2 linked regions of the Diceros bicornis minor genome follow. The protein of the gene in region 1 interacts with the protein of each later gene in a biochemical or structural test. Links are inferred from orthologs where the notes say so. Each region holds a gene or a part of one and is shown on either strand. Other genes may lie near its edges.

Region 1 (7,583 bases):
TTTTTCATCAGATTTGAGCTGCTGTTTTAAAACAGACCAAGGCGGTAAAGACAGAACACAGAGCTAGTAAGTTTTTCATGGGGATGCAGTAAAGACATAGAGGATAGTGCGTTACTCAGGGATGAGAGACCCCAAGGAAAATATTCATGGTGTGGGGAGGCCAACCAGCCTGTACCACTTGAGAAATTTTGTTTTAGATTCAGTAGTAGGATGCTTTGCTTCCCCCTATGAGATCTGTATCAGTGATCTATTGCTCCATAACAAACCAAACTACCCCCAAAACTCAGTGGGGTTAAGACAACAACCATTTATCATTGCTTGTGACTCCAAGGTGGCTGCGCAGTTCTGCTCATCTGGGTGAGGCTGTCTCATCTTGCCTGGGCTCTCTCACAAGTCTGAGGCCTAAGCCCTCACAGCTCCTCGACTCAGCTATGGTTTGCGTGCTCTCTCATCCTGCAGTGGGCTAGTCTGACTCGCCACAGAAGCAGGGCAGGGCTCTAGGAGTGGAGTATGTAAGGCTCCTGGAGGCCTAGGCTCAGAATGACAGTGTCACGTCTGCTGCGTAATATTGGTCAAAGCAAGTCACAAGCCAGCCCAGATTCAAGGAGTGGGGAAATAGTCCTCATCTTTTACTGGAAGGAGCCACATAGTCACATTGCAAAAGCGTGTGAATACAGGGAAGGGAATAATGTGGCCGTTATTGAAAACAATCTACCAGGAGATCCTTCCTAATTTCTTGTAAAGAGAATTATGTAACTGATAATATCTATCTTTTTGCTTTGACTTGTTGGCTGCATTGTATTCTTTATATTTATATTTCTAGTTATAAATATAATTAAATAAATACAACTGGGTGATTGGGAATAAAAGGATGAATGAAGAATAGGAATGATACTGTCTTTTCTCCCAGCAAAAATAAATTGCTCCAAATGGGAAGTCTGGGTTTCTAAGAGTCTTTCCACTGTAACATCATGTGAATTTATGAGTTACTCCAGTGCCTTCAATTACTCATAAAATGTGGTTTCTAGACGCCACGCCATCCTTGACTCTCCTTTGAATATACACCAGTTGAAGGATGGCAAGTAGCAAGTTTCACCTTACCTGCCTTTCTGATTGATTGCTAGTGAGTAACTAGATGCAGTGTTGAGAAGTATTCAGAAGTTGGGCCCTGGCAACAAAGACTACCCTGTCATTTGTTTTTGATTTTTTTTTAAACCCAATACAGGTATTTGCATTTGCTGTTTTAAGTTTTATCCAGTTGGTTTCAGCCCAGCAGCATTCTAGCCTAAGATAATTTAGAATTTTGATTCTGTCATCTATGAATTAGTCAGCTATTTCAGTGGCAAAAAACAAAACAAAACAAAACTCAGTGACTTATAACAATGACAACAAACAAATACGTCTCACTCATGGGTGTGTGGGTGGGGTGTGGCAGTTCTGCCCCAGGTGGCAGGTTCAAGGGTGCTCCACACATCTCTCCTTCCAGGACTCAGGCTGGAGGAGCAGTGGCTGCCTGACCACGGCTCCCAGCACAGGGCTGGAGTGCACAAGCACAAGCCCATCACACAGAGCGTACGGAGTCTTAGCTCAGCTGGAGGGTACATCACATCTCACATTCCATCAGTCAGAGCAAGTCACACGGCCAAGATCAGAGTCAGTGCACGGGGAGGGACCCGCCACTCTTGGTGAGCCACGGCAAGGAGCGGGAAGGGAAAGAAAAAATGTGAAAAATAATACAATCTACCAGACGTGGTATTAGCTATTTTTTCTCGGTGTGTGTCTTTTGCAAAGTTGACACTTGTTGGTATAGAGATATAGCTGACTGCTCTAAGGGGGCCATCATGCATTTGGCTCTGTCATTTCTGGATCTCTAGTTTTTTGTTTGGTTTGGTTTTTGATTTGGTTGCCCTTTAAGCAGTCAGTATGTTCAACAGTCACACTTATAAAATATAGTTTGTCTTCCAGGAACTTAGAATCTTGGAGGGATAAGATTTGGACACTTCAAAAACCATAATGTAAGGGAGTGTATGGTGATTGTCAACTTAAATAGAGGCATTTATATATCACATTATTTCAGAGACCAGATTGATCACCACAGGTTGAGGTGGTTCCAGAAGGAGACTATAGGATTTGGGCATGGTTTTAGAAGTTGGGTAAGGATTTGATAAGTGAGGGGAGTAGAAGGCAGGACTTGCCATTTCCTATGTACAATGCTTGCCAAGAGTATGTGCAAAGGGGCAGAAACAGGAAAATTAAAAGCATGGGGGGAGAGTTTAGTTGGGTAATGGGACAATGGGAGACAAGACTGGAAAGAAAGGTAGGGACGTTCTGTGGAGGATCCAGACTAGCAGACAAAGTTTGTGTTTATCATAAATGCAATGAGAGTTGTCAAGACTTTGGGAAGGGAATGATTGTACAAATGTGGTGTTTTAGAGAATTTAATTTGGCAAATATAGTGGAGGGGGAAGGGACGGGAAGAAGGTCGTCTGCCTGGTGTCTATTGTAGCATTCCAGTTCTGAAGTGATGAAGGTATACAGTAGGGTATTGCCAATGATGGTAAAACTCAGGAGGATCAAGGCATAGGGAAGGGAGCATCCATTCGAACTTGATGACAATCAGAATGTGGAGAGCTCAAGAGAAACATCCTATTTGCAGTTGTTAAGATTACTTAATTCCCCCATCAGTATTGAAGCTAGTCTCTGTGCAAGTTTTACCGTACCAGAAAACAAATTTTTTAACATATTATCTACCCTTCCTAAAGTCAGCTTTTCTCAAACATTGTCTCAGCCCTTAGTGCAGGTGAGTAGGAGGAGAAGGGCTCTTTTCTGGTGGCCTAGCATCTCTTTTCACAGAAGGTTGCTACTCTGGTACCAAGGGTCATTGTTAACACCAGTTCAGTACTGGCTTTGTGAGGGTGAATATGTGACAACAAGAAGGAGTGTATTGACGTGGGAAGAGAAAAAACTATGACAGACACTCATATAAGCATATCCCTGGGAAATTATTTAGATCCTTTTCCTATGCAAAGTTGCCTTATTATTCAAGGCTTGATTCGAGTTCCATCTACTTGAAGGAACCAATTGATTTTATGGGCGTACATTCCAAGATCAGGTCTAGGCTGGCCTCGGGGATGCCTACCTGGGGAAGTGACCTTTAAGATGAGATTTTAGCTAACACATAAAAGATGAGTTAGCCAGCAAACAAGTTGGGGGAGGTAGATTGTTGGTCAAGGGGCTTTCCAAATGGAGAACTGCTGGTGAGAAGGCCCTGAGTGTGGGGAAAGAGCTTGGCTTATTTGAAGAACAAAAATGCTGAAGTAAGGAGAGAAAAGAGTGGCACGAGATGGGGATGGAGAAAGTGATAGGGAACCAGGGCTTTGTGGGCTATCTTAAGAAATTTGGAATTTTAAGAAAAACCATCATAGGAGGTTTCAAGGCACACACATGATTTGCTTTGCAATTAGGAAAAAAAAAATCACTCAAACTGCTGTATGGAGAATGGACTGAAAGGGAGTTGAGAGCTGAAGTGAGGCAGCCATTGGGAATCTCCTGCAATAATCCTAATGAGAGAAAAAGGGGTGGTGGGGGGGTGGCATAAGAGATGGAGAGAAGAGATAAGACTTGTGAAATATTTAGGAGGAAGAATCAACAAGGCTTGAGGACCAGGTGTACGGGTGAGAAGGCAATTTGAAAGATGACTCTTAGTTTTCTGGTATGTGCCATTTCTAGCAAAAGGGCAGATTTGAGGAGAAAGATGATGAGTTGGTTCTGAACATAACTAGTTTGGGGAGCTTACCAGACATCCAGTGGAGAGTCAAGTGGGGGCTGTACACGTGGGTGTGGAGCTCGGAGGAGAGGTGTGGACAGGATACACATGTGGAAGCTCTCCCAATACAGAAGGAAATTGAAGCTGTGGGTAAGGTCATCACAGGTCTGCGTGAGAAGTGTAGGAAAAGCAGACCAAGATCTGGACTCGGACAACACTTACCATTGAACGGTTTGGTAGTGGAGGTGGAGCAGAGATGGAGCAAGAATGCCGAAGAGGTAGGAAGAAGCAAAGAGGATGTGTCGTCATCATGGCCAAGGAAGAAGTGTTAAAGGATGGAGGGTCAACTGTGCCAAATGTTTCTGAGCGGTCAAGTAAGGTGAGCACAGAAAGCGTCCACTGAATTTAGCAACATGGAGATCAGCTGCCAAGCTAAGCTTCTAGAATGACAACGTGCCCACCTGTGTCCTCTGCCTCGGGTTCTCAAATATGGGGCTAATCCAGGGATCCCCAAGTATGGGCCTCTGCAAACAAAGAACTTCCTTTTAGTCGTTCTCTAAAATATGTAAACATAACCACCAGTCCGCCAAGTTGCAACACAAAGATGAACTGCACGTCACCCACGTGGGGACTCTGCCGGAAGGCTATGGAAGGAGCTAGCGGGTTGGCTGCGTCCCGGTCCCCGGGGGGAGGCGGCGCACCCGCGGAACAGCCGCGTCCGATTGGCCGAGCGCGGCAGCCGCCCGGTGATTGGCGGAGGCGGAAGGAGGCGGGGCGCCGGGCGCGGCCTTTTCTCCCGCTGGTACTTTCCCTTTCCTGCGCCGAGTCCGCTGCGGAGGGGCCCGGCCGCGCCCAGACGACCCCTGTCAGACCCCAGACGGAGCAGAGGCGACCCAGCGCCCCCCCGGGAGAGGCAGCACCGCCGCGCCCCTGCCCACCCTGCCCGATCAGGCGCGCAGAGTGAGTGGCCGTGGGGTTCCGGGTGCCTGGGTGGGGCGCGCCGAGGCCGGCGTCGTGGGGGCCGGGCAGCCGGACGCCGGGTGAGGACCGGCCTGCAGTGCTGACAGGTGAGTCCGTCATCCCGGAAAGAACGCGTCCCGAATATCCCAGGTGCTGTCCGCCGTGATGGTGCGGCTGCCCCTGCCTGTCGTGCTCTGGCGGTAAGAATGTCTTGCAAAACAGAATTTTTCGCCAAAAAACATTGCACCTCCCCGTTTACCCTCACTTTTCCCACCTTCCCGCCCCTTGCCACCACAGTCACGTTTTTTCTTTCCGCAGAAAGTTTTCGTTTGCGGTGTGCCACCTCCAGAGAGCTATCAAGGTTAGGCGCTGGCGCCCTGTGCGTGCAAACCTAACAGTGTTGACGTCTGACGTGCTGTGTGTAGCTCCTGCTTGGGTTGAAACCCCAGCCCTTCGCTGGGGCACAAGGTGACAGGTCAGTAAATGTTCGTGGAAATGAATGAATGAGTGCATGGCTTTGGAACTTAATTATATATCTGTGTTTAAGGATGAAGGAGCTTAGTGTGTTCCTGGAATATAGAAGTGATATTTAGTTCTTGCAAACCCCCAAATAATATAATTAGTCTTTAAAGAAAAATTCTGAGTAGTACCGAAGAGTTGGGGGTAAATATGTAGGTGTGTGGTTGATTGTGCTTTGGATGTTGTTTGTATCAGTTGGAGAGGTTGTTTTTAGGGGACAGAAACAAGACTTGAGCCTCCAGCACAATCTAATATGCAACCATTGCTTCATGAGGATGCAGGACTCAAAGTTGAACCATAATGTTGTTTGCCCTTTACTTTTTAATTCAATTTGCAATATATTAGATTTCAATTCAACGAACTATTATTGAGTACATACTATGTGCAGGACACTGTCCAAGGTGCAGAGGATGTTTAGAAAAATGTATGGTCCCGGCAACTCTGGAGCTTACATCGTGCAGGGGAGATATCATAGAGCTTTCTAAGGAAGATGGGGACTGATGCTCTAATAGCAATGAGGCACAGGTCAAAGAGAGCTTAATTGTCTCTCGGTGAGCTTCTGACAGCTTTATGGAAGAAGAGGCATTTGTCCCTACCTTTGAATGCCGGTAAGATTTAGAGAGGCAGAAATTTATGGGGAGGCTGTTTTCAGGGTGAGTGACAGCTGGAGCAAAGCAGAAATGTTGGGCATAGCCGAAAAACCATAGATAGTTTGGTGACTGGGTTGCTTTGTTGATGGATGAAAATGGGATCAGGGTGGAAATCAGCCTAGGAATTGGCAAATGATTTGAGCAAGAGAGTGATGTGGTCCAACCTGTGTGCAGCAGGGGCTGGATTGGGAAATAGTGTTGGAGGCAGAGAGGTAGGAGGTCTTGGGACTGGAGAGGAAGGAGTCAACCCTAAGTTTGGGATTTGAGCCAGGTGATTAGGGGTGGTCATGCCACTCACTGGTTTTGTGAGAAGATAGGTGGATTCTGGATTTGTTAACATGAGTTTATTATCACCTGCTCTGTGCCAGGCACCGTGTCTGTGCTCACCTACTCTCAATAGGGAAGTGTGTCACCTGAGGTCACTCACCTAACAAGAGGTGTTGCAGCCCCGCTGGCTGATACTCTGGTCAGCATATTTGTTTTAGGCACATCTTTATCAGGCACCTAGCAGGGAGGGAGAGAGCCGCAGATTTGGAGTCTTCCACTCCGGTGAAATAAATTTGAAGTGAAACATCAAATTTCTACAGCAAGTGTGCCAACGGGGTGGGCTTGGGTCCATTTCTACTGGTATTTGTGATGGTCACTAGCTTTATAGTCCCACCACATCCTTACCCTCCTTTGGAAGGAAATTTATGGAGTAGACATGACTTTATGCCTGCATATGTGTGCTCACCGGCAAGTGTGCACACCCACTTCCATGCCATGCTTGCAAATCCAGAGCCCTTCCTCAGAGGCCTGGTAGGACAAGATTCACTTATGTCTGCAGTGAATATTGCCAGTCTTGCGTTGATGCAAATCCTGAGTTGCGCTACGGTGACGGGAGGCTCTTCATTTTCCTAATGGATGTTTAGGACTTTCTTAAATCACATTTTTGTTTTTTTTATCTTTGGAACTACAATGTAAAAATTGACTTATAGTTATCTAAAGAGATAGTATTACTTTATCCTTTCAAATTACGTTTAACAATGCTGTTTCAACCTTTAAAAATTATTATTGAAATTTAAGACTTTTTGTGCTGAATTTATTGTTTGCAGTAGGCAAAGAAGAAAATATATCTCTTTTAAAAGGTATATAACAAAAATCATTTCATATATGAATCATAAAATATAAAACACTTGTTTAAAATTCTTTGAGTTAGGGGGCGGCCCGGTGGCGCAGCGGTTAAGTGCATGGCGCTCTGCTGTGGCAGCCTGGGGTTCGCAGGTTCAGATCCCGGGCGTGCACCGACACACCGCCTGTCAAGCCATGCTGTGGCGGCGTCCCATATAAAGTAGAGGAAGATGGACACGGATGTTAGCCCGGGGCCAGTCTTCCTCAGCAAACAAAGAGGAGGATTGGCATCGGATGTTAGCTCAGGGCTGATCTTCCTCACACACACACAAAAAAACTCTTTGAGTTAAATTACAAATGCATTGTAATTTGTAAGAGAGCAATTTTTTGAGAGTTCCTATGATTTGTTCTAAAGCAAATCTGATTAAATAATGCTTTCCATTTATTTATTTGATAAAAGTGCAGATTCATTTTAACGGCATATTTATTAAACACCTCCTGTGTGCCGGGCACTATTCTGGAGATGCAGCAGTGAGCAAACCCCCCCAAATCCTTCCCTTCATGTGGGGAAAACAGAC
Region 2 (7,334 bases), on another chromosome or scaffold:
GAAATCATCTCAATGTCCCGTGTCTGTTTCTCCCACCATAAGCTCCACGGGAACAAGGGCCCGTCTGTTTATAGTGAGGGTCTAGGCCCAGCTCCTGGCGCGTAGCAGCCACTCAGGAAGTATTTGTTGAATAAAAGGGATAACCTAGATGACAGACCGGCTCTGCCCACCTCCCCTGCTTCCTCATCACTCTGTAGCCACACTGGCTGTCCTGCAACGCGACCTCGAACATACCGTGCCCTCCTCACCTCTCAGGCTGTGCACTAGCTGTACCTGCCCCTCGACCTCCCTCGAATGCTCGCTCCCAGCTGTCTGCATGCTGCTCATCCTCATCCTCAGCTCTCCGCTCAGATGTCACCTCCTCGAAGACGCCTTCTCTATCTTTCCAGAGGGGCCCCCACACTTTCTCATCACCCTCTTGATTTCTTCCATCACACTGACAATCATCTGAAATTATCGTGAGTGACGGTGACGGGTTTACTCAGTCTCCCCCAGGGGACAGAAGCTCCGCGAGGACAGGAGCTTGTCCTCTAGTTCACCGTTGTTTCTCCAGGACCCAACTCACTGCCTTGCCCCAGGAGGGGCTCAGGAAACATGTGTCCAGTGAACTAATTTTACAGAGGAGGAAACAGGCTCAGAAAGGTCGAGTGAGCTGCTCGGGCTCACACAGCTGGCACCCAGGTCCACCTACCTCCGAAGGCCCTCCGCACCACGCAGCAGCCCCCTGACCCTCCGCCTGGCCTCTAGGCAGACCCACCTTCAGGCTACGAATGCTGGATGGGGTGGCGTCCGACTTGAGCATGACTTGGATGTCTTGGAGCACCTCCTCGCCAGTGGGCCGGGGCCGGGTCACCTCATCAGCCACCTCCTTGGCAGCTTCCTCCAGCTGGAGAGGAGGAAGGGGACACGCTGTTAGTGACCAGAGCAGGACCAGCCCTGAGGGGCTCAGGGATGGGGTCCCACTCACCAGCTGCAAGTGCTCAGCCGGCTGCTTGTACAAGTAGTCGGCCAGGTCCTCGTCGAAGCTGGCCAGGTCCTCCATCTCCACCTCGATCCAGTACTCCCCCAGATTGTAATGCCGCTTGAGTTCATCCCTGGAGGGGGCAGGTGGCAGGGTGGGGGCGGGGAAGGGTGCGGAGAAGAGGAAACCAACGCTGGCTGAGGTGCACCCGCACCCCAAATCTGCCCACACTGGGGCCGCCACTGCCCCACCACCCCTCTTCCCAAACACACATCGAATTCCAGGTGGTTCCGTTAGTTAACCCTGCAGAGGCTCCCCGCCGCTGACAGAGCCACCCTCCACAGAAAGCTCTGTGGAAGTGGTCCACCAGATAGTCGAGGGATGCTGCATGGCTCAGACAGGGTTCTGCGCACAGGTGAGCTTAGGAAACTCGCACTGCAAACCAGCGCTTTCACTGCAGGACTCGGAGGCTTTAACTCTCTCTTGGAGGTTAACAAGGCACACAGCTCAAACTCGGAGACTGAAGACAGCAGAGACCATGTCTGTCTTGTCAACCACCAGACTCTTTTCACAGAACATCGCATGGGACTACTGTCCCCAAAACACATTTGGGGACCACGACCTACGCAGAACCTGCTCCTCAGCCTCTCTCAGGCCTCATCCCCTTCACCTTATGTCCAGGAGCCCGGCCCGGAGAGCCCCTTGCTATCACAGGCCACCCCGTACCTCTGCCCGTGCACGCAACTGCTCCTATACGGAAAGCCTTCCACACCTGAACTATTCTCTCAGCTCAAGCATCACCTCAAATTTGGGCTCCATGGAAGCCTTCCCTAACTCCTTTTATATTTCTCCTTTGAGGTGACTATCACCTTGTAATTTATTTGCTGGTCTCCATGCCTCGCTCCTACTGATGTATGAGCTTCTTGAGGGCAAACAGAATGAATCTTTCACCTTTGTATCTCAGTGCCCAGCACGGTGCCTGGCACATAGGTGGTCCATGTCAGCTGGTGCGTGAGTAAACAGAGGCAGGAGTGGCTAAGCCCATTTTACTGATGAAGAAACTGAGGCCCAGAGAGACGGTCACTCGGAAGCCACTCAGCTAATAACTGGTCATGCCCAAGCCTGGACCTGCAAACTCATGTTCTCTGCACTTGAAGGGCCTACAAGGATTCGGCATGACGTCACAGGGTGCACAGTGTCCAACCTTGCCCAGCTCATTCAGTGCCTGGAACAGTGCCTGGCCTGGCCTGCAGCAGACGCTCAATCCACTGAAGTTACCAATGGCAAGGAATGAACGAGCAAAGTCGATCATAACTACCACCCACAGGTCGCACCCACAGTGAACCTGAGTTTACAAGGCATCACAGACACTACATGTGAGGACAGCACGAAGCAAATGAGCAGGAAGAAGACCTAGAGGAAGAACCAAAGGGCCCAAGTGGCTCTAGCGGCCCACTCAACAGGTGACTCACTGGCAAGTTAACACCGGGGATAAAATGGACACAACCATAGGCCAGTGGGGTGCGGGGCTCTGCTGAGCGCTCAGGCACTGCTGGGGGCGCACCTCTCCCGGCCCGCGCCAGCCCGCACCTGTATTTGAAGGTGAAGCCGGTGCGGTCGGTGCCCACCCGGTACTGCCGCAGGAACTCCTTGAAGCGCCTCTGCAGCTGCGACTTGCGGGCGTGCCCCTCGTCGGCCGCGGTGTCGCCCCCGAAGCTGTCGCTGTAGAAAATGCCGGGGTCGTCGAAGCCCGACATGACTGCACCTGGCGCGGGGACAGAGCGCTGGAGCGGGCCGGGCGGCGCGGCCTCGCCTCCGCTCGGACGCCGGGGTCCTCGGCTCCGGCGGCTGGGCGACCCCGGCTCCCCGCCGGACCCCACCCACGCCAGCTCTCCCAGGAGAAGCCCCGCCCGCCCCTACCGCGCCCCCACATGCAGAGCCTGTCGACCCCCGCGGGGCCGGCTCCGCGGCCCCCAGGCCCCCGGCCTCACCTCTCCCTTCCCGCACTCCGCGGCCCGGGACAAACCAGCACCCCACACTTCCCCGCCGACTTTCGCGGGAAAAGCGAGACCCCGCCTTCGCCCGCCGCGGCCGCTGCGCCCCCATTGGTTCGCCGGGGCCGCGCGGCCAGTGATTGGGCCGCTCTGAGCCCGCGAGCCCCGCCTCCCGGGCTGGCCGCTGAAGAGGATTGGCTGCGGGGCGCCTGACGTCAGTCCTGGCCCCCTTCCGGGCTCCATTTTGTGCGTCGGCCGGTTTGGCGCGAAAGTTCTGAAAGGGGAGGAAGGGGCAGGGCGGGCGCGAAGATGGCGGCGGGGCGGGCGGACTGGGGTAAAGTAGCCGCTTTCCGAGCCATGGGGTGTAAGAACTCGGGGTTCAGAAGCTATGGGGGTCAGCCCGTGGCTTAGCGGTTAAGTGCGGGCGCTCTGCTACTGGCGGCCCTGGTTCAGACGCTGGGCGCCCACGAGGCACCGCTTCTCCTGAGGCTGCATCCCACTTACAGCAACTAGAAGGATGTGCAGCTATGACATACAACTATCTACTAGGGCTTTGGGGAAAAAAACAGGAAAAAAAGGAGGAGGATTGGCAATAGATTTTAGCTCAAGGCGGGTCGTCCTCAGCAAAAAGAGGAGGATTAGTATGGATGTTAGCTCAGGGCTGATCTTCCTCACAAAAAGAAAAAAGCAGCTATGAGTCCTCAGAGAAGCACGCGCTTGCGCAGTGTGAGCCCCCTGCACCCCCGCCCCGTGTTCTCTTACCGGTACACACTCGCCCAAAAGTTGGAGGTTTATCAGAAAAAAAGTCACCTCGGGTCTCCCTAACACCTCTGGGACCAAAATCGTCCCAAACTTGGGACGCAAGGGATGTTTTCTTAGATCCGAGTGGTGATTTTTTTTATTATTGTAGATTTTGCATTACCTGGTAGTGCTTAAAATTTGTGAAAATTCATGACCAGATCCCCAACCTAGCTTGAAAAGCAAGAAGATTTGGCAAAACTCGATGCATTCTCCAGCTGCAACAGGGACCACATCATCTCCCCTCCCTTCTTTTCCCTTCCCACCCCCCAAAAAACTGGAAAGAACTTTTTACCCTCTTGGTCACATCCACACAAACATAGATTTATGTGTTCAAACTATGTGTATTTTTACAGTGTGTAAAAATTATATCAAATGAATCTGAAACTGGCTTTGCTCATTTTCTTCACGGAAGTCCCCCTGAGCGGAGAGACAGATTTAACACATTCTGTTTAACAAGCTGCTGTGTTTTCCGTAGTAGGAATAGGATATAAATTATTGGGCCATTTTCCTGTTGGTAGAATTCTAGATGGTTTCTCTCGCCCGCCCCCTTCCTTCCTTTCTTTGTCACGACTAACAATGAATATGGATGCCCCATTCACAGAAAGCTCTGGAAACTGGGCCCAGGTGGGGAGAGCTGTGGCTGCTGTCTGAAGCCTGCTCTCTGGCCATCACCTCTTGAAGTGGCCCCAGGACCTGGCCGCACGGTGGAAGCTCTCCGTGAACAGAATTCCAGAGTCCCGTCAAGGGCTCCAGAGTCAGAACCTCCCGGGGTGGGACCCGAATTCCCCGAGTGATTCCGATGCCACATCCGCTGGTGTTTGGTCACCACTGGGCCCTCCCACCAGCTGTGGGAGGCAGGCGTATTGTTCTCTTTGCCAATGAACAAAGACTTGAAGTGACATCCAAGTTTCCAGACTTAGTGACCAAGCCAAGTCTGGGGATCAAGGTCTCCTGACTCCCGGTCCTCGCTTCCTACTGGTATAAGGAAACCCTTTGTCCCCTGCTGTCCCAACTCCACCTTCAGTAAGGGGTTTCACTTTCCCAGAGTGGGAGGCTGCATATTTAGTGTTTCAGTGGCTTGCGTGACTTCATGGAAAAGGCTTGAGTTTTAGGGCCGGACAGACCTGGGTTAAATCCTTCCTGCCCCTCAGAGTGGTAACACCCCTGTCAGGTTTGCTGTGAAGATTAAATGAGATGACAGAGGAGAGGTGACTCTCACAGGACAAGAATCACTTGGCAGGGGCTGGCCCAGTGGTGTAGTGGTTAAGTTCACGCACTCCACTTTGGCAGCCCGGGGGTCCCGGGTTCGGATCCTGGGCACGGACCTACAAACCACTCATCAAGCCATGCTGTGGCGTCGTCCTACATACAAAATAGAGGAAGATGGGCACAGATGCTAGCTCAGGGCCCATCTTCCTCAAAAAAAAAAAAAAAATCACTAGGCAAAATTCACAAAAAACTGATCTCCATTGTTTCACAATAGGAGCTCTTGTGGTATGAGGTTGGCATCTTACCTGCATCTCATTTGCTTCTCACAACAAGCAGGTGAAGTGGGTCTCACTGTGTTCATGCTACAGGTGACAGAACTGAGTCCCAGGGAAGTTAATAACTAACCTCCAAGGCAGAGCTACAATGTGGAGGAACGGGAATTTGAACCCAGGATCTCAAGTCTTTAAGATTTATCGTGCGGGACACACAAATTTTATCCCAGAATCTGCTCATTTCAGCCTCACGGGGCAATCCCATCCTCGGTAAAGCTGAGCCTCACGTCGAGCGGGGTTTGCCACAAAGATTCGCCCACCAACAGCTTAAAGCTCACCCACCAACGTTCTCAGAACAGAGCACAAGGTCCAAAACCAGCTCCTGCCACCAGCACCCTCACCACGTCTCCCCAGCAGGCAGTCAAGAAACAAGCAACGAGAAGGTCTGTTCCCCAAGGGTAACAGAGCCCAAGAAAAACACTCCGAGTTACTATCAGGCAGTATCCTTTATTATTTCACACACAAGTTAGAGACCAAGGCCACAGTGCTGTTAAACACCTCCCTCTGCACCCCCTCCCGCTCCCCCCAAACCCACCCCAACCCTGCTATAAAAACATGAGAACACAACAAAAATCCCCAGTTCAGGCTGAGCCGGGAACAAAAAGTGGCTCCAACAAAAACAAGACAGACACACGAGACACAACATCTTTGCACATTTATGTAAAAACTGCCATGGGCCGCGGGCACAGCGGGCACGGCACATCAGCGAGGAGACCGTGAACCCAGGGCATCTGGAGGTGAGGAGAGCTGCCTCCGTGGGCCACGTCTTCTGGGCTCTGCTGCAGGAACGGGGATGCTGAGGGGCTGGCGGGACCCCTCGGCCCGCTTCAAAAGTTCAGATCATGCAGCTGGCTGCGCTTTTGGCTGGGGAAGCCACCACAGGCTCCTTGCTTTCCAGAGAGAGAGGGACGCAGGGAGAGGGTGGGGGCCCGACAGCCCCCGTGCCCAAGGTAAGGAAGCCAGCCAAGAGATTCTCCCTCTCCAGAAAGAGGCCTTCCGTTGGTGAGAGTTCACGGCTCCCAGGAGGCAGCACGCTGGCATTCACATGGCGTAGAGCCCCACGGCCACCGTCGCCACCAGAAAGCTGAGTGTGAGGACCCACCGGACCAGCGGCACCTGGGAGAGGATGTTGAGAGGGAGCTTCCCCCCGGGGGTCTCCGTGGGAGTAGAGTCTGCAAGAGAAAGGGGGGCAGTGTCAGCAACAGGTGGACAGAAGTGGGGTGTCTAATGTCACAGAAAAACACAGCAGGACAGTCCCCACTCAATGCTAGAACACCAACAGGTAGCCCCCCAGCCACTGCTTGAATACCTCCCACGACAGGGAGCTTACTACTGCTCCAAGCCGTGCACTCCTTCCATTTTCAGCCAGCCCACACTGTGAGCAAGTACCCTCCAGGGGTACCCCAAGGGACCACACTGTGAGAACTGCTGCATTAGGACCAAGTCCCCTCAGCCCACCAGGTGGCCAATCCCATCAGGACTGGCCACATTCCAACGCTCCGGGGCACAATCCCACCAACAGAGGGGTCCATGTGGTCCTGGCACACGTGGGAAAGACACAGGGCCAGGTGGGGTAGGGTGGCACCAGGAGCGAAGGCCTAAAGTAACCCGCCAAGCTGGCGGCTGAGCTTCACTCACCCCTCTCCCCTCCTCTACTCCCAGAGCCACACTCCCGCCCACGGGAGATGGTGCATTTTGTGGAGCACTTTAGTGTTTCTGGAAGTTTCCCAGATATTCTCCCAGCACAGCCACAGCCTCAATAGCTCTCTGAGGCATGTGAGGCAGGGACTCACGTGAGACGAGACTCAGAGGTTATGTGTCTTCCTAGCCTTCCGTGGTGGAATAATAGCTAGCAACAGTCCTGGTCTCCCTGCCCCACATCAGGGTATCTCTGCTTAGGAACTATTACAGGGCCCCCCAAAAAACCTAAATTAACCGAGGGCAGGGCTTTGCCCATGACTTCCCAGGTCCTTTGTGTGCAAGTCTCCCCTTCTGAGCCAGTGAACGAGAAACCAACTCAACCGCCCTTGATCTTAG

Evidence for each region. The genes of interacting proteins can lie anywhere in the genome.
Region 2: the proteins of STAT1 (region 1) and MCM5 form a complex in vitro, tested with the Homo sapiens proteins (2 studies listed by BioGRID). The link is inferred for Diceros bicornis minor from reciprocal best matches to the Homo sapiens genes STAT1 and MCM5.

Annotation. Positions count from the first base shown.
Region 1 is NC_080749.1:69,837,930-69,845,512, reverse strand, and holds the start of STAT1 (signal transducer and activator of transcription 1-alpha/beta), read left to right. Parts: upstream 1-4,578; 5' UTR 4,579-4,726; intron 4,727-4,740; exon of another isoform or gene 4,741-4,833; intron 4,834-5,044; 5' UTR 5,045-5,201; intron 5,202-7,583. UniProt on the Homo sapiens protein: Signal transducer and transcription activator that mediates cellular responses to interferons (IFNs), cytokine KITLG/SCF and other cytokines and other growth factors.
Region 2 is NC_080764.1:14,204,304-14,211,637, forward strand, and holds the start of MCM5 (DNA replication licensing factor MCM5), read right to left. Parts: upstream 3,008-7,334; 5' UTR 2,953-3,007; intron 2,727-2,952; 5' UTR 2,719-2,726; coding exon 2,552-2,718; intron 1,095-2,551; coding exon 968-1,094; intron 887-967; coding exon 758-886; intron 1-757. Other genes in the region: HMOX1 (heme oxygenase 1), read right to left, coding at 6,339-6,469. UniProt on the Homo sapiens protein: Acts as a component of the MCM2-7 complex (MCM complex) which is the replicative helicase essential for 'once per cell cycle' DNA replication initiation and elongation in eukaryotic cells.